4 linked regions of the Canis lupus familiaris genome follow. The protein of the gene in region 1 purifies or fractionates together with the protein of each later gene. This does not show direct contact. Links are inferred from orthologs where the notes say so. Each region holds a gene or a part of one and is shown in the gene's direction. Other genes may lie near its edges.

Region 1 (4,804 bases):
GAACTTCTTGCTGATTCCTGTTGTAAAAAAAAAAAATGCTGTGTTTGACTGTGTCCTTTGGTTGACTTTTTTAAAGATTCAGACCATTAACTCCATCAACTCTTATTCCTTATCATACTAATTCATGGTTTTTTGTCTAAGTTGAAATTTGTAGACCCATTTTCTGTTCCAAAAGGATAATCAGCATCAGTTGGAAGTTTGCCACATATTTAACTCAGTATGGTTAAAAGTCCTTGCCATTACTGAGGTTTCATTGAAATAAATCGCAGGATTTACTTCAGAAAATTGAATTTAAGAAAGAGGGGGAAAGATGTACATTTATACTTCTCTTTCAAATAAAGTAAGAGCAACTTCTACCTAATGTTAAATTACTGTTTACTAAGTTTAAATCACCTAGTTTTTCTTTTTTAATTCAGATGGCACTCAAAAGAGACAGTGCCTTATAGTTGCATCATTTCTATTGCACATATCTTCCTGATAAGCTACTTTAGGCAGTGGTCTGAGAATGGGCCTGGTCATCCCGTGCATGGTGTGAAATGTGTTGAGTTGTGTATGTGCTTGGCTTTATGCACTAGGCTGTTAGTAACAGGCTGGTGTTGCAGAGGGAGGTCAACACCCTGGCAGGCCAGTCACAGCCCCCACCACCAACTCCAAAATGGCCTGGGATGATTTCAAGTGAGCAATTGAGTTTGGAACTGCACCAGGTGGAAAGGGAAATCGGGAAGAGAACCCGGGAACTGAGTCTGGTGAGTGTTTGGTGGGAAAGGGGTGGGAACTAGAAGAGGTGAAAGGAAAGCTTTTGTGTAGTGATGTCTTAGAACTTGCAGCTCTAGAGCTCTAGAATCATCACCCCTAAGGCACTCCAGTGAGTGGTTAATACCTAGAATTATCATGAGGATGGGCTGCCTCCCTTTTTTATTCATTCCTCCTCTCATTCCCTTTTGATGTGAGTGTTCTTTGTCTTAGGATTCTGCATTATGAAAAACTTGCAGGGAAAACAAGGCAGTTAATTGGGTATTATTAAATTATTGTTAAACATACTGATTAGGGAAGCTGAGAGGGGATGATGTTATGATTTTGCAATACCATGATCTTAAAAAACTATGTGTTCACAAATAGCAGTCAGTTTTTATAGCCCTTTAGTTATTGAAGACCTGTTTTTTTATTACGAGGGAAATGCAGTCTGCACATTCCTTCCTGAGGAACTGTATCCGTGGAAATGCCTCCTAATGCACAAATACTGGTTTTGGGAAATTTTGGATTTGGGGGGAGTGAACCATTCCCCTAGGTTGCATGGTAATTGACTCTTTTGTTAAATAGTTATAAGTTCTTTCCAAGCAAATAAATGAGGTATTTCATTTTTTTGCTTTCAATAAGTATGTTATAGGTAGTGATTATATTTTTGCTTACCTTTTCTAAGTCATCAGTTTTTCTAACTTGGGGCATTCTCTCCCTTGTTTTCTAGCTTGGATAGTGAGCAGATGTACTCTCTTATTATCATGTATGTCTCTCTTTTAGGCTGCCCATTTCTTTGGTCATTTTATAAAAATGATTTATAAATATCATATAAAAATACGATTTTGGATTATCAATTTGTATTATCTATATTTGGTCTATTTCATTAGCACTGTTAAATAGAAGATAATTTAATTTACTTCCTTCTCTTCCAAAGGAGAACCAGTGTACTCTGGACATGAAAAGCAAATTGAATACAAGTAAACAAGCAGAAAATGGACAACCAGAACCACAAAATAAGGTTTCAGCTGAGGACCTTACATTGACATTCAGGTAAAGAAAGGGACATTTCATAGTCTTATATTATCCAATCCTGACAGAAGTTCCCTCATAAATATGATTTTTTTTTTTTAAATACCATTATTCAGGTGTGCCTGGGTGGCTCAGTCAGTTAAGCGTCTGCCTTCAGCTCATGTCATGATCCTGGGGTCCTGGGATCAAGCCCTGCATTGGGCTCCCTGCTCAGCTGAGAGTCTGCTTCTCCCTCCCTCTCTCTCTGCCTCTACATTCTGCTTGTGCCCTCTCTTCTCTCTCGCAAATAAATAAAATATCTTTTTTAAAAAATCATTCTGTATACATTGAGAAAATATTTTCACATAAATTTAGTTCTAAAACTTGTTTTTCTGAGTCATGAAACTTATTTACAGATCCAAGATTGTTAATATATAACAAATGAGTTTTTCTGGTTCCATTTCTTCTTTCTCCTATTTTTTATTTTATTTAAAACCAATTCAACATTTTGGTGTAGACCTTTCCAGTCCTTTTAAAGTGTGTGGATATGTAGCCTCTTTCAAATCCACCTTCCACCCTATCCCCCTAGTTTTTAATTCGGCCTATCCCACATCATCTAGAGGTGTGGAAAGGATATATGTCAGCTATGATTAAACAACCCCGCAAAAAACCGTATCACAGTCAATTCTTTGTTTGCATAGCTTTAATTATTTCCCTAGGTTATTGTGAAGTCATTTACTACAGAGTCCTGAGTTACCTTCCTGACGATTGTACAACAATAATTTCTAATGCTCTGTTGGTTTCAGGCTTAAGTTTTAGCTGTTTAAATCCATGCATTTGTCCTAAGTTCAGAATAATTTCTCATACGAGTAAGCCTGCTAAAGCTTAAAGGGGTCAGAACTTTTTCTTATTAAAGTCCTGTTAGTAAGTATTTAAAACTATGGGTCTTACAGTCTCTGGAAATGCTCAATTCTGCCATTGTAGTGTGAAAGCAGTCATAGACAATACATAAACAAATGGCAGGCTGTGTTTCAGTAAAACTGTACTTAGAAAAATAGGCACTGATTAGCCTTCGTTTGCCCACTTCTATAATAAAGCATGGGTATAGAACTGTAAACTAAAATTTAAAAGCTACTTGTGTATTTTTCCATACTCCTAAAAGAAAGACCCTATTGATTTTATTCTACTAATCATTTTTATCTCTCCTTATTTAATATTGTTGTTGTTTTTTTAATTAATAGTGATGTACCAAATGGCTCAGCTTTGACACAAGAGAATATCAGCCTCCTGTCAAACAAGACCAGCTCTCTGAACCTGTCAGAGGATCCCGAGGGAGGAGGTGACAACAATGACTCCCAGAGAGCCGGAGGAGTCACATCCACTTCTGCTCCCTAAATTATGAAGAGTTCGACTTTTATCTTTTGCTCCTGATCAATTTGTGGGGCATAGGGGTAGGAGAACAGATAACTTCTAAACTTTTTCTCTGAGAGTGGTCAGAGAAATCCAAGAAAAGTACCGGAGGCAATGTGCACAAATACCACTACTAAAAACAAACCCTGCACATAGTTCACATTAATGCATTTTTTAATTTAAAAAAAAAGAAAAAGAAAAAGAAAATTAGCAGTATCTGCAAGCAATTCAGATTAAATTTGTTTTTGTTCTGTGAATGAACTTTATTTTAATAACTTTGGACGCCTTGGATCCAGGGCTTTAAAAAAAAAGAAGATATTATATATACACTCTGTTTGATTAATTGTATGATCTTAATGAAGTAGGTTTTTCTTGTATTTTGGTATTATTACATACCCAGTGTATAATTCCTTATCCCCGATCCTTCCCAACTTTCACAACCCCATAAGTTAAAACAGACAGAAAGCACCGGACTGTCTGAGAATTCTGTGGTGCTTGAGAAACAAAGAGACAGTAGTAGACTAGTTATTAGAAAATGTGCAGCAAACCAACTTTTCCAAGAGCTCTTATTTGAAAGTCATAATTTTCTTTCCCTTTCTGGTTTCTGGCTTCATGTGTGTGTTTTTCATATGGCACTAAAACTTTTTGTTGTTCAGGTGGGTTTTGTTTCTTGTTTTTGTTTTTACTTCCACTTTTTCAGAGAGATAATTCCTAATTAATTTTTTGAAGTCCTCATTTCCATATTATGGATCCATTTCATTCTCTTGATGTAATCAGAAAGCCAGGCCAATATTGTAGGCTGTTCGATTAGTTTTAAATGGAGATTATTTTAAGAATGAACTGTAATTTATTAGTTAGTACTGAAAAATACATGGTTGGTATATTACCTGTACTGAGCTGATGGTTGGAAATTTGGAGTTGTGCTTTTCAAATTAAACTTTTGTTAAAATCATAAAATGTTTTTTAAAAACCCAGAAAACAAAAACCACTGGGAAAATCAACCATGTTTTAAAACTGCAACACTTGAATTGAAAATGAGCAGTCACATTATTTCTGTTGATGTTTTTGTTCTGTTTTACTGTCAGAACCCAAAAGTATAAAATAAAATTAAAGCCCCTGGTTTTCAAATAGATGAGTCAAATACAAACTGCCCAGTTCTTAAGGATAGTTTATAAATTAATAGTTGTTGTTCAGAATCATCGGCGCAAGTAGGCAGTTAAGTACCTAAAAGTTAGTTTTCATAGTGAAGAGATTCTTGATGAAAATGTTGAAAAGAATAAGAAATTTTAAAATTTAGTTCTGCTGCACATATTCTGATGCCATGTGTCTATACTGAGCTAAGACCCTATAAAACATGTTTAGGGGGGATTATTTGATATAGTCACCCTCCTCATTCCTATGTTTGCCTGATTTTTTAAAAATTTCCCTTTCTGGATTATACTACTACAACAGAAAGCACTGGTTATGTAATAAGTTACTGCATTGCTTTGGTTGGGTAAAAGCAAGAGTTTGTATTTTTCTTGTTTCTTATTTTCTTAACCCTTAACTCCTGCTGAGGTCATAACAACCTCAGTGTAAGCTCTATGTCCATCATACTGTTAACTGAAACAAATGGGGGGAGGGGGGAGGGAAATACAGTCCTGCCATT
Region 2 (4,804 bases), on another chromosome or scaffold:
CACAGACGACCAACCACCTGTGTGGCTGGAGAGGTTCTTAGAGGGAGTGAGGTTTTTGCTGGATCTTGGTTAGGGGTGGGATATGGGGTGTATGAGGGAAGGGTGTGGCCCTGTCAGGTGTTTTTAAAGAACTGGGTATATTGGATGTTCTGAAATCAGCAGTCTGAGAACCTGGGAGATTTTGTGTAACTGGAGTGTAGGATGTGTGGGTTGGAGGGGAGTTCGAGAGATGAGATTAGGAAAGTGGGTCAGAACTAGATTATGATCTCATGGTGCAGAATTTGGGGTTTAATTCTGTGTAAACAGGTTAAGTAATGTGAGATTCGTACCTAGAAATATAACTTAAGTGGTAAGTGGGAGTGTGGACTGTGGGTGATAGGTGGGCAGGAGTCCAAACTCGGAGCTGGGAAAGTGAGGAAGGCTGTCCTGGAGTCTAGACAAGAAAGGAGGGGAGATGAAGATGAGGGGAACAGAGTCTGGCAACAGTGCTGCTGTGGGACAGATGAGGCTTGTTGAGCAACGGAACGTGACAGACAGGAACAGCAGTCAGCACTGGGGGATTTTTGTGGCTGTACTGTGCACTGAAGCAGGTGTGACATGTGTACCTGTGCTGCTGATGCTCCTGGTCTCTTCAACTTGTACAGTTGCTCACAGAAGCAAGGGAGAAAAAGCATTTCTGAGCATTAGCTTTTTTTATTTGTTTTTGCTTGCATGTTTAAGCTTTAGCCTTTGCATGTTGGATACAGAGCTTTTAATAGTTAAAAATTTAAGTTTCATTTTTGATATTGCCACAAATCACAGAATTTCAAGTGGTATATTTAATTGCATTTTCATAAATGTATATATTTGGTTAACTGAAACTTAAATAATTTTGTCTTTAAAAATATGTGAGTGGAAATGGCAAGCAGCAAATGCTAATTTTACCAGAGTCAAGTTAATTTTTAAAAATAACCATTGGAGAAATTGTTATACATTTTTGTTTACAGGATTTTTACCTCCTATAACTCCACCAGAAAAGTTTTTTCTTTCCCAGCTAATGCTGGCACCCCCAAGAGAACTCTTCAAGAAGACACCTCGACAGATTGCATTGATGGACGTTGGAAACATGGGCCAGTCTGTGGATATTAGTGGGCTTCAGCTAGCCTTGGCTGGTAAGGAGCAATCAGTGGTTTGGGTATTCTTGTGTAGTAGCATTAGGCCCTTTTTTTTTTTTTTTTTTTTTTTTAAGGGTCCCCACTTAAAATGAAGGTCTTTGTAATTGTGCTAAAAGCTTCATAACTTCCATGAGAAATGTACCCTCAGTACTGGATCCTTGCTAATGTGGTATATAAATTCACTCTGAGTTTTCACTTGAATTGATTGCTTTTTCAATTTAAGAAGAATGCTGGATAAAATTTAGTAGGTTTAAAAAAAAAAGTGATCTGCAGATTCAATGCAATTTCTATTAAAATCTGAACAATATGTTTTGCAGACATGGAAAAACCCATTGTAAAATTCATACGGAATCCTAGGGGACCCTGAATAGCCCACATGGTTTCTCTTGGCACCCTTGTTGAAAATCATTCTACCTTATATGGAAGGGTTTATTTCAGGGTTCTCTATTCAGTGATCACTGCTTTGTCTGTCTGTATTTCACTTCACACATTTGCTTACAGTAGCTTTGTAGTAAGTTTTGAAGTCAGGATGTGTGAAAGTTCCCCTGTCCTGCTGTTTCAAGATTGCTTTGGCGCCTTCTGTGGGACGCATATAAATGAATGGGATCTCTTGAAGCAGAAGCCTGTTGTGATAGAAAATAGGAGCTTTCTTGACCTGGATGGTCAGAGCCTCTCTGAGTAGGGAAGATAGAAGAGGCACCTTTTGCTAGACTGCACTGAGAGTGATTGATTAGGGAAATTCTAATATATGGGCAAATTTGTGAACCCTTCACCTTGTGACTGAGTGAGCTGCAGTATTAATTTTGACAGTCCCCCATCCTTCTTACTAGACTTAATGCGTCTGTGACATTTGGTTTCTTATACAAGGTGACATCGTTCAATAAACTGCTTTTTCCTTGGAACATTCCGACCCTCACTTTTTAACTCCTGAGTATCACATTAGAACAATGTTTATTTTCTGAAATCGAGAAATCTTTTTAAGACTTTTAAGGTTGAAGGTATGCAGAAATGCTAATTCACTAGTGCTAGATATAATCTACTTACGGAAATAAAATATGATTATTTCTTGAAAGATTGTATGAGAGCTGGGTACAGAGGTGTGACAGGCAGTTTCAGTCATTTTACCTTCAGAAGGGATATATATATTCTGAGGGCTTTTGCTTTGTATTCAATAACGTGAGAATCAGGTCTGATCTCCCTTGCAACTTCGGATGACTTGAGTTCGACTGTGAGAAAGTTTTAAAGTATATCAAGCCCAGAAAGGAATATATGCTAGAGTTAGTCTCGAGAAAGCTTGGCAAAATGGCTAAACTTGCTGTCTCCTACCCAGATTGAAGATGTCCTAATCCATGCATTTTTACAAATATCAGGGGGAAAAAAAGTGCTACACTTATCTTCTCTGGAGCTGGCTACACACAAATTCACCTTTGCAGAGGCCTGCAATTCATGTCTTGCAGTAGGATCTATGGACCAGAGGTGTATTTATGGAGGATGCAGTTGCATTTTTTTTAACTTTAAATAAACAAGCAGACAAGTTATACAAAAGTAACTACAAGGGGCATTTTTTTTTTACCCTATTAACAATGTCAATATTTCAGAGGCTTTATTAAAAATTCCAGATAACCTGTACTTGTTATTTTACTACACATTGTGCCAATTTAAACATTTTTCCTATATTTTTGTCAAGAGTATGTTCATTTTCTGTACTTTAGCTAGCAATAGGAGAAAACAGCATCTTGGGATGATTTTAGTTAGAATTTTTCCTATTAAATGAATGAAGTTGAACATGTTATAGATACAAGGCATCTTTCATGTCTGACAGTTTTCCCACTGAATCCATGTTTGTTTGTTTTTTTTTTTATTAACACTGATAGCTCTTTAAGGAATCAGGAATTTAGCCCTGTCTTTTCAAAATTACAAAATCTGTCTCCCTCTGCCTATGTCTCTCTGTCTCTCTCTGTGTCTCTCACAAATAAATAAATAAGATCTTTTTTAAAAATTACAAAATCTGGGGATCCCTGCGTGGCTCAGCAGTTTAGCACCTGCCTTTGGCCCAGGGCGCGATCCTGGAGTCCCGGGATCGAGTCTCACGTCGGGCTCCCGGCATGGAGCCTGCTTCTCCCTCCTCCTGTGTCTCTGCCTCTCTCTCTCTATCATAAATCAATCAATCTTAAAAAAATTACAAAATCTGAAATATGTAGTTTCATAAAATCTGCATGTATTAAGGAATTATAAAGTGACCCTGGAGCAGCATCATCTAGGTTAAGAAATATGTTTCAGGACCTAGAGTCTCCTTGTGTGTTTCTCTTCCTAGCTGCTCCCCTTCTCCCCCATCACTAACCTCATTTTTGTGATAATCAGGATTTACTTTATCGCCCTCACCTTTATATATGCCTGTAGTTTAACTTTGGATGTTCTTCAACTTGAGATATATGTGGAAACATGTTGTGTTCTTTTGGGTGTTAATTGTAAAGTGAATCCATACTGATGAATTGTAGTGGTTGATTTTCATTGCTGTTGTGACATTCATACAATGGAATATCAAGTTCTCCATCCATTTTACTTTTTTTTTTCTTTTTTAAGACTTCACTCACTTACTCATGAGAGACACAGAGAGAGAGGCAAAGATACAGGCAGAGGGAGAAGCAGGCTCCATGCAGAGAGCCCGATGCGGGACTCGATCCTGGGCCTCCAGGATCATGATCTGAGCCGAAAGCGGGCGCCAAACCGCTGAGCCACCCAGGGATCCCCCCCATTTTACTATTAATGGACATAATGTTGCTATGTTCATTCTGGTAGTACATGTGAAAATATTTTTTCTAGGGAGATAAGCAAATGTAAAACTTCACTAGCTAGTGGCAGATTGTTTTCCAGAGTTGCTGTGCCATGTTTCATTCCCATTAGCAGTGTGCAAATTACCTGACATTCTCTGCATCTGATGATTTCAGGCTTAATTTTTGTCAGTCTGAAGGGTATGTAATAGTGTCTTGTGTTTTGACTGATCCCCACACCCCCACCAGTGAGGTTGAACTTTTTTTTTAAAGATTTTATTTATTCATGACAGAGAGGGGAGGGGGCAGAGACACAGGCAGCGGGGGGAAGCAGGCTCCGTGCAGGGAGCCTGATGTGGGACTCGATCCCAGGGTCTCCAGGGTCACATCCCAGGCTGAAGGCGGCGCTAAACCGCTGGACCACCGGGGCTGCCCTGAACATCTTTTCAAAGGTTTATTGGCCATTCAACCTTTTTTTTTTTTTTTTTTTTAAATTAAATGGTTGTTGAAGTCAGTCCATTTTTTTTTTAAGGCTTTTTTTTCCCCCCAAGATTTTGTTTATGAGAGAAAGAGAGAGAGGCAGAGACACCGGCAGAGGGAGAAGCAGGCTCCATGCAGGAAGCCTGATGTGGGACTTGATCCCAGGACCCCCAGGATCACAACCTGAGCCGAAGGCAGACGCTCAACCGTTGAGCCACCCAGGCGTCCCTGTTTTCATGTGTCTGTTGGTCATCTGTATATCTTTAGAGAACTGTCTGTTCTGATTTTCTGCCCATTTTTAAATCCTTTTTTTTTTTGGTGTTGTAGGAGTTATTTTGGATATTAACCTTTTACCATATACAGAATTTGTAATAGTTTCTCCCGTTCAGTATGTTTTCA
Region 3 (4,804 bases), on another chromosome or scaffold:
CAGGTGACTCTGGGGGCTTGTCATCTCATTTTGAATGACTGTGATGTGAGCTGGGAGAGAGGATACGTAGAGTCATGGGGGACCAGGTCCAAGGTTGGCAGCTGTAGCATTCTGGCATGGCTGGGTCCTCTCTCTCAGCCAACAGCTACAGACACTGACCCAAGGACACCCTGGTGATCCCGCGACGCCCCTTGATCTTCTCCATTTTAGAAGTCAGAGGAGCCCAGGTTCCTCCACCCGACTTCTCTGCCTCAGCAGCTGCCCTCTCAGCAGCCGATGTCAAAGGAGCAGGATGAGCAAGAGGAACTAGATTTCCTGTTTGATGAGGAGATGGAGCAGATGGATGGGCGGAAGAACACCTTCACCGCCTGGTCTGACGAGGACTCTGACTATGAGATTGATGACCGGGATGTGAACAAGATCCTCATTGTCACCCAGACGCCACCTTACATGCGCCGGCACCCTGGGGGGGACCGCACAGGCAACCACACCTCACGTGCCAAGATGAGTGCAGAGCTGGCCAAGGTCATTAACGATGGGCTCTTCTACTACGAGCAGGACCTGTGGACAGAGAAGTTCGAACCTGAGTATTCCCAGATCAAGGTGAGGCTGGGACATAGCCTTGGGGGTGGAGCCTGGGGTGTTTGCAACACGTGGAAAAGAGGAAGGCTAATTTGGGCACAGAGCCTTAGTATCCTTGTGTTTGAAAAGGGAGTAGTAATGGACACCATGCTGGGGCATTAAGTGAGAAGAGATGTAGGGGGAGAGGTGAGCACTGTGCCCCCTGAATGCCCATGTTTAATGTCCTAACAATCAGCCAGACACACTTAAAAGCTTACCTTTAAAATAATAGCTTTTGGGCAGCTCAGGTGGCTCAGCGGTTTGGCACGACCTTCGGCCCGGGGCGTGATCCTGGGGACCCGGGATCGAGTCCCGCGTCGAGCTCCCTGCAAGGCGCCTGCTTCTCCCTTTGCCTGTGTCTCTGCCTCTCTCTCTCTCCTTTCTGTGTATTCTCATGAATAAATAAAAATATTTTTAAAATAAATAAATACAATAAAGCTTCTGGGGCACCTGGGTAGCTCAGAGGATGAGTGTCTGCCTTTGACTCGGGTCGTGATCTCAGGGTCCTGGGATTGAGTCCCACATTGGGCTCCCTTTGGGGAGCCTCCTTCTACCTCTGCCTGTGTCTCTGCCTTTCTCTATGTCTCTCATGAATAAATAAAATCTTTAAAAAAATAAAATAATAGCTTTTGGGTGCCTGTGTGGCATAATTGGTTAAGCGGCTGCCTTCAGCTCCGGTCATGATCCTGGGGGCCTAGAATTGAGTCCCATGTTGGGCTCCCTGCTCAATGAGGAGTCGGCTTCTCCCTCTACCTCTACCTCTTTGTCTTGCTTGAGCTCTTTCTCTCACTTTCTCTCTCAAATAAAGAAAATCTTTATGCATATATATATATATATATATATATATATTTATATATATATATATAAACTAAAAAATCACTGCTGCCTGGAAACAGTCAAAACTTACAGTTTTTACAGAGTAGCTTTGTGAGGTGAGCCTGTGTAAGTAGTGAGCAGCAGGGTGTTCGGTGGAGGTGAAGACAGTGTCAGGAGGAGAATCGGGTCTGCAGGAAGCTGCCCAGGTAACTGGGGTTGGGGAATGGTGATGAGGTAGCTGAGAGCCTGGGGACCAGATTTCCATGTATGTGGATGTGGGAGCTGCCCCCTGCAACTTCCTGCACTTCTTGATTCCTAAACAGGCTGGGGCAGTCTTCTTACTAACATCATCTCTCCGCCCATCTTGTTTCCTCTGCAGCAAGAAGTCGAGAACTTCAAGAAGGTCAACATGATCAGCCGGGAGCAGTTTGACACACTAACCCCAGAGCCCCCCGTGGATCCCAACCAGGAGGTCCCTCCTGGGCCACCCCGCTTCCAGCAAGGTGAGAGACAGGTGGTATCTGGGACCCTGGGTGGGTGTGGGATCCTGGGTGGGTGGGAGAGTACAACCCTCAGACAGGGGCCTCCCAGGTATAGTCAGTCACAGGCCTACCACTGCTCACTGACCTGCTCTCCCTCTGCAGTCCCCACTGATGCCCTGGCCAACAAATTGTTTGGTGCTCCTGAGCCTTCTACCATTGCCCGTTCTCTACCAACCACTGTCCCAGAGTCACCAAACTACCGCAATGCCAGGACCCCCCGTACTCCCCGGACACCACAGCTCAAAGATTCAAGTCAGACATCACGGTTTTATCCAGTAGTGAAAGAAGGACGGACGCTAGATGCCAAGGTGAGGTGCTCCTGCTGAGTGGCTGAGAGTCTTGGGCTCACTTAAATGCATTCCAGTGCTTTACTGTCCTCCCTAGCCTAAGCCAAGGAACTGCCAAATCCCAGAACTGCTCTTTGTTCTTAGGCTGGTGGGCCCACCTGGGATGGAGTGGCCACATCTGAAAAAGGGACTGGGTATGGCAGTGGTGGCCCCGTGTCTCCATGATAAGGCCCAAGGAGGATCAACCAGGGGTGGGTCCTTAGGCTCCCAAGCCACGATGTCCTCACCTGTGAGATAGGCATACCAGTTTCTGGCTCACAGCCGTGGACTTCATATGTGAGAGACTAGATATGAAAATGCTTTTTAAATTGTGAAGTAACGCATACATGAGGGGATCTTAGTTCAACAAATGCTTGGTGCTCCTCTGAGTTCCATGAGTACAATTAATAACAAATTCTGGACTGACCTTTGCAGATGCCTCGGAAAAGGAAGACAAGACACAGCTCAAACCCACCCCTGGAGAGTCATGTGGGCTGGGTGATGGATTCCCGAGAGCACAGGCCCCGGACTGCTTCCATCAGGTGCCAGCACAGTGGAGAGATGATGGCAGGGTGGGCGGGAAAGCCAGGCAGTTGATGGGACCAAGAAGAAGGAATCTCTTTCGTCTGTAAATTAAAGAAAATTGAAGAAAGGGACTCTTAACCTAAATCGGAAAATTTGGAGCAGTCTAGAGAATGTAATTCAGGGCCTTGGAAGGTTTTCCCCAAGGAAAAGTGGCACAGACTGAGAATAGGCGTGGTTTTAAAGAAAAACATAGATGGGCTACCCCATAATAGCTAATCAGAGAAAGTTAAATGTGAACTCGGGATGATTAAATGCTTAAAAGCTCAGGTTTGGACACTGTGCTAATCTGGGATGTTAAAGGGTCCATGACCAGGATAAGTCTCCCAGGCTCTGTGAGCCTCAGTGACTGCTTTGTAAAAACCCACCAAAGATTGATGCAAAGAGTGATTTGGCCTGAAGGCTGTATGTTAAGGGCCTACCATGGTATTTAGGTCTCTTTGTTGCCCTAGGAGAGGCTAGATCTTGGCTGATAGGAAGGGACCTGAGGGACCCCTCCTCACCTGATGGGCAGCTGCTCCAGAGAACCTGATGACACTCTCTCTCTCCTGGCCTTTAGCTCCAGCCCCTCAGAAGGGACACCTGCAGTTGGCAGCTATGGCTGTACCCCTCAGTCTCTGCCCAAGTTTCAGCATCCTTCCCATGAGCTGCTTAAGGAAAATGGCTTCACACAACACGTCTACCACAAGTATCGTAGGCGCTGCCTTAACGGTAAGAAGCAGAGGGGCCTCACCTCTGAGGTCCAGACTGTAAGGGCTGGTGGAGCAAGTGGTTCTGCTTTCTCTGACCTTAGGGCAAAAAGAATAGGAGTTAGACTCAGGCAAGTAGTTTTTGAATACAGAAGGCTGAAAGAATCTAATAATCAGAATATTTTTGTTCTTTGATCTTCTATTGATAATAAAAAATAGAAAAGTTTACCTATTTCTAGCATGACTGCCAAGTCAGCTATTGTCCACTGTGGTCCACTGTTGATCATAAAAGAGTATGCATGGGGCAGCATAGATTTCTCTAGAAACAGGGGTGGCTTAACCATGGCCTCTGGACCAAATCCAGCCAGCTTCCTATTTTTGTACAGCCCTTGAGCAAGGAAGAGTTTTACATTTCTAAGGGGTTATGAAGGGAAAAAAGAAAAACTTATGACTGAGACCATATGTAGCTTATGAAACCTAAAATACTCTGGTCTTTTTTTTTTTTTTTTATAAACTTTATTATTTTTTTTTAAATTTTTATTTATTTATGATAGTCACAGAATGAGAGAGAGGCACAGATACACAGGCAGAGGGAGAAGCAGGCTCCATGCACCGGGAGCCCGATGTGGGATTCGATCCCAGGTCTCCAGGATCGCGCCCTGGGCCAAAGGCAGGCGCCAAACCGCTGCGCCACCCAGGGATCCCTACTCTGGTCTTTTATAGAAAAAAGTTTGCTGGCCCCTGCTCTTAGAAGATGGTGTAAGGAAAGAACTCTCTAGATAATCTCATATATCTCTTTTTTATCACAAAATGAGATGTCTTTTCACTGTAGGTTTCTGTCCGGTTGGCTGTAAAGATGCTCGGAAGCAGTCTCAGTGCTCCCTTGTAGTTGTTACTGTTCATCGCTCTCCAGTCCTTTTCAGTTAGCAGCACATGGCTGTTAAATGCCTCGCTCATCTGCCTTACTTCCCTGTTTGTGTGTGATGACTGGTTTACTAGGATAGAATTCACATACCTTACAGTTGACCCATTCAAAGTGTGTGGTACAGTAGCTTTCAGTACATTCAGGAGTTGTGCATCTATCCCCAGAATCGATACTAGAACATGTTCATTACCACAGGGAGAAACCCAGTGCCCCTTACTGGTCATTTCCCATCTCTGCACCTGTGGCTTCTCCCAGGCCTGCACAACCACCAGTTTGTATGGATTTACCTGTTCTGGACTTTTC
Region 4 (4,804 bases), on another chromosome or scaffold:
CAAATTGGGTTTATTACTCATTACAGTGAGGGAAAATGCATGCCACTGTAATCATGGGATATTTCAGTAAGAGTGTTAGAAAAGACTTTTAGGATTTGGGCTTCTGTCAGGTGGTTTTAGGGAGGGATTAAGGAAGCAGGGCCTTGTGCAGAATTGGATGCTGTTGGGAAGCTGGGGTAATTCTGTGACAGGGTATCTTAATAAGTCTTAACTAGAATGAGAGAAGAATAGAGTGAGAATAAAGCTATAAAGAAGCAGCATTCACTTACATCAGCCAAGCTAGAAGGATGTTTGATCATTTTTGTGGTTAGAATAATGTTTATGTTTTTGTCTATGTTCAGTCATGATGACAGAGTGGTCTTGTCTGGTGATGAAGTATGAAACTGTTTATACTCAACAACAGATGAATGTTAGAACTTAGCTGTGAGTGCCAGGTCAGCTCCCAGCAACACTTAAGGTGTAACTGATAATACCAGATGAGCGCCCAAAAGCTAGGGAGCTTCTGCATGTCTTTTCAGAAACTCAGATCTCCCAGTAAAACTTTGTTGGTCTGCAATTTTTGTGTTGTTTTAATCATTGGAGTTGATGAACACACTGCTGTTAAGCATCTCTGCTTTTGCATATAGTATTCAATCTACCTCTACCGTCTATTCAGTTAATTATTTTGCTGCTTTACCTACTGTACCTTGTACATTTGTGGTAATTACCGTACTGTTTTCTAGATGTAAGCTCTGCAAGGCAAGGGGTTAGTGTCCTAGTCTACCTTTTCTCTCCCACAGCACACCTACCATAACACAAACATCCAGTGATGTGGTTGGTTGTTGAGTTGGACTGAATTTAGAGTTTTAATTTCTTTACCGTTTCATAGTGACTTGATATTCAGATTTTGTTCTTAGCTTCCCAGTTTGTTTTAAAATTAAAGTGATATATCATAGTATCATTTCCTCAATATTTTTAATGCAAATACATAAATGTGCTTCTGTGGGGAGAGGCAGGTTGAATGGTGAATATGTGAATATTTGAGTGTACCTAGATACCCTATTTAGTAAAGGTATACTTAACCCGTAATTAGAATTGAAGTATTTTTTCCTACAAAAATTTATAGTGATCATTTCTTAGATGATAAGGAGTGACATTAGAGATGTGATACTGTTTTACAGGAATAAGTGGGTATCATGCAATTTTTGATGATGTATAGATTATAGAGAGAGAACTATTTTACCCCAAGAAATGAAGAGGGTTTTGATGTTTAGACAGACTTTGTCTCAGAGAAATGATTGCAAAGCATGATGCATTTTCCATTCTTTTTAACCAGTTCCTTGGTTTTAACACTAGCATACTGTGAGCATAGTTTCACATACCCCTTGAGGAACATGAATTTATATTTTCCCCTCCCTTGGGAAGAGAATATTTGGTGCACTTATCATTTATTACTGATACTTAAAGTCATTAAGTTTAAGATAAGAAAGTCATTAAGTTTATTACAGTTTTATGCTTCTAAAAAGTGAAGTTCTTCATAGTTAAAAGGTAATTTGTATTTGAACATGAATGTGTAGAGCATTATCTATAATAGGATTATTTGACTTGAACTGAAAATTACATATTTATTCTAAGAATTTGTGAATTGTGGTTTTAATCATTTAGTAAATAATGAATCTTAAAACTATTTTACAGGACACCGAGTTTCCAGGTGTGGTTGCAAGACCTATTGGAGAATTCAGGAGCAATGCTGACTATCAGTACCAACTATTGCGATGTAATGTAGACTTGTTAAAGATAATTCAGCTAGGACTGACATTTATGAATGAGCAAGGAGAATATCCTCCAGGAACTTCAACTTGGCAGTTTAATTTTAAATTTAATTTGACGTAAGTGGGAAATAAATATAACCCAAACTTTTTTAGCTTAATTTTAAGAATTGATTTCCCTCACGGTGAAAAATGCTAACTGAATTTGGCACAGTTATCCTAGAGATACTTAAAACCTAATTTCAGAAGTTTAGATTTCTTCTTACGGGATGAAAGAACTAGGATAAAGAAGACTTTATATTCAAATACTTTGAATTTTGAAGATGTTGTTTGAAAAGTATGACTGCCACTTTTTTTGAAACCTGAAAAACTTTGGGTATTGAAATCACTTCTTGATAGAAAAAATAACCTTACGTTAGTTTTACTTTCAAACTTTGTTTGCAGTTTGAAATATATATATCTTTGTTGTAGTAATTATCCTTGTGAAGAGATTAATATATCTGACTCCAGTTTATGAGTAGATTACATGTCAGAGGCAGTAAGGCATTTCTTGGAAACTTGGGTGGATTTTCCTTTCAAGTCAATGTTACATAATAGTTACGTTTCCAATCAGCCCACAAAACCTCTTGTAACTTACATATATAGGAGAGGTAATGGTATCCTTGAACTTTATTTCTTTCAGATACAGTTCAGAATCTGAATTCTAAGTTAAGCTCATGGTTGATAGTTTAGGGAAGTTTAGAGTGTTTTTAAGTGAGGGCAGATTGTTTACAAACTGACTCTAAGGTGGGGAAATACTTAATATATTCTAAGTTACAATATTGCAGTGTCCTTTTATTTGACAGCTTGTACTTGTGTAATATCTTATATCTGGTTTAAAAAAATAGTAAAAGAAGCTGTGGCACAGTTAGCAGTAGTGCCAATGTAAGAACCTCAATAATGTGATATTTAGCATATAAGATCTAAAAAGCCAGGGCAGATGGTTTTAGAGAATAGTGTTATAGTACTGTGGCTTATAATTACATTGTATTTAGCCTCATTCTCTGTTTTACTTTGTTGGATTTCATAATGTATACTAGAATCTTGTAAAGATTCTGTACTCTCTATGTAAACTGGTAATAACCTTCTATAAGTACTACAGTACTGAAATACTGAAAAATGTCTTTTATCCTTTTCTCAAAAGAGAACCATTTTTAAAATTAGTTCTTCACCATTTCATTTGTTCCATGTTATTTTTTTCCCAAGTTGATCATTAGAACAATGTTTTTAAACTAAGATACTGTTGTGATATAAATACATGAGTAAAAGGGGACCCATCCATGTCTCCATTCTGGTAAAATTGACATTTTCCTTTGCTAGAAACATCTTTGTTATAGTAACAACTGCCTTATTATTATAATCTTTGAAAGACATTTTTTCTTATACAGAGAGGGCTACTTGTTACCAAGCTTTGCTACTATTTATACTAATGTTAATGTCCAAGAAGTTGTTTAAGGAGAAGGATATAGTAGAATGCACTATTTAAGTAGAAATGATTAATTGGAAGATAAAACTGGGACTACCTAATGTAGAGACAGTACGATGAATAGAATCTAGGTATTTTGAAGAAAGATGAAAATTGACTTTTTTCTTGAGTGCCCGGAATGTGTCAGCAACTGTGTTAGGCACCAGGGATAAATGTTGAGAAAAGTTGGTCATGGTTTATAACTTAATGTTCCTGTAACTTTTCTGTCTGCTTTCTATTGCCAAAGTCCAAAAATTAGAATTGTTAGATAACGATGAATGTATAGGAGTTCTCTCCAAACTGAATTTGGAATTGATAATGTAAAATGAAAATTGGAGTAGACTATTGAGGAGCTGTGCAAATTAAAACTATCAAAGGAGATGAGAACAAATTTCTAAAACATCAGTTTGATGATTGTAATAATTCTTAGTGTTTGAGGGAATCATTTTGATAGTGTAATAAAGGTTATAGGACATTGTGGGTTCAGTGGTAACTGAAAGGAAGCTGATAATCATTTAAGCAAAATGGCAGAGGAAAGAAATGGAGAATCATAAGTAGAAAGGACAGAATCAAACAGTGGGTGGTTTTGATTTTGTTTTTTGGGTCACGGACAGGCATTTGAAGGCTAAAGGGCACCTAAGTGTCAGGTATGGAGTTGCAGGCTATTTGTGTTGTCTTTCATATAGCCTTTGCAGATTTTTTGAGCACCTTATGTATTCTTGGTTTGAGTTCATTAAATATTAAGCTAGTTGACCATTCATACATTTGTGACAGTCTGTATTCTGGTTTGCCTTTTCTCATGATTTTTAGCAAAAACAAATATATAGCGTGTGTGTTTTAAAATGTAAATGTAAAATGTACAAACTATAAAATGTTTAACTTGTGTTTAAAAATGTGAATTTGTATAGTAGGCTGAGCTTATACTTATAGGTAGGTCGAAAAGTTGGGACGCCTGGTTGGCTCAGTTGATAGAGCATGCGACTCGATCTTGGGGTTGTGAGTTTAAGCCCCACGTTGGATGTGGAGCCTACTTGAAAAAAAAGTGAAAACATATTTCTTGAATTTAACATACTATTAAAGTTTGGTTGGTAATTTAACATACTATTAAAGTATGGTAGTAAAGTTAGGTTGGTTTCTGTTTTTAGGATATTATTTGAAATGAGCAGCCTTGTATATATCTGCTTTTTGGGAAAACCTTTTTTAGAGATTTGTACATGGCTTTCACTCCTGTTGGGTTATTATACCTGAATATTTTGCCACCTTAAACTTCAGTAGTTGATTAGTATTAAGAGCAGTCACTGCTGTTCTGAACAGATTGTTCTAATCAGTAAGTCAATCCCTACACCTGCAGCAATCCTTACATTTTGGACACAACAGTGTTTTCACTACTTTTTTGAGATTTGCATCCTCTAATATATTCCTGCATTTACTGAGATTTTTTTTTCCATTTACTAAGATTTTTGAGGGTGGGGAATGATTTGAAAACTTGAAATGGATTGGGAAATGGACAGTCTTGATTCGGAATTGAATTGTAACAATTTTGGAGTTTTCC

What was found. The genes of interacting proteins can lie anywhere in the genome.
Region 2: the proteins of RC3H1 (region 1) and CNOT11 purify together in Homo sapiens (affinity purification with mass spectrometry, with the first as the bait; 4 studies listed by BioGRID). This does not show direct contact. The link is inferred for Canis lupus familiaris from reciprocal best matches to the Homo sapiens genes RC3H1 and CNOT11.
Region 3: the proteins of RC3H1 (region 1) and LARP1 purify together in Homo sapiens (affinity purification with mass spectrometry, with the first as the bait; 3 studies listed by BioGRID). This does not show direct contact. The link is inferred for Canis lupus familiaris from reciprocal best matches to the Homo sapiens genes RC3H1 and LARP1.
Region 4: the proteins of RC3H1 (region 1) and CNOT7 purify together in Homo sapiens (affinity purification with mass spectrometry; 5 studies listed by BioGRID, with this or other methods). This does not show direct contact. The link is inferred for Canis lupus familiaris from reciprocal best matches to the Homo sapiens genes RC3H1 and CNOT7.

Annotation. Positions count from the first base shown.
Region 1 is NC_049228.1:25,199,216-25,204,019, forward strand, and holds part of RC3H1 (roquin-1), read left to right. Parts: intron 1-575; coding exon 576-746; intron 747-1,672; coding exon 1,673-1,788; intron 1,789-2,987; coding exon 2,988-3,141; 3' UTR 3,142-4,804. UniProt on the Homo sapiens protein: Post-transcriptional repressor of mRNAs containing a conserved stem loop motif, called constitutive decay element (CDE), which is often located in the 3'-UTR, as in HMGXB3, ICOS, IER3, NFKBID, NFKBIZ, PPP1R10, TNF, TNFRSF4 and in many more mRNAs.
Region 2 is NC_049231.1:42,715,724-42,720,527, reverse strand, and holds part of CNOT11 (CCR4-NOT transcription complex subunit 11), read left to right. Parts: intron 1-986; coding exon 987-1,151; intron 1,152-4,804. UniProt on the Homo sapiens protein: Component of the CCR4-NOT complex which is one of the major cellular mRNA deadenylases and is linked to various cellular processes including bulk mRNA degradation, miRNA-mediated repression, translational repression during translational initiation and general transcription regulation.
Region 3 is NC_049225.1:55,867,706-55,872,509, reverse strand, and holds part of LARP1 (la-related protein 1), read left to right. Parts: intron 1-210; coding exon 211-603; intron 604-1,816; coding exon 1,817-1,940; intron 1,941-2,081; coding exon 2,082-2,287; intron 2,288-2,740; coding exon 2,741-2,847; intron 2,848-3,446; coding exon 3,447-3,598; intron 3,599-4,804. UniProt on the Homo sapiens protein: RNA-binding protein that regulates the translation of specific target mRNA species downstream of the mTORC1 complex, in function of growth signals and nutrient availability.
Region 4 is NC_049237.1:41,448,602-41,453,405, reverse strand, and holds part of CNOT7 (CCR4-NOT transcription complex subunit 7), read left to right. Parts: intron 1-1,674; coding exon 1,675-1,868; intron 1,869-4,804. UniProt on the Homo sapiens protein: Has 3'-5' poly(A) exoribonuclease activity for synthetic poly(A) RNA substrate. Its function seems to be partially redundant with that of CNOT8.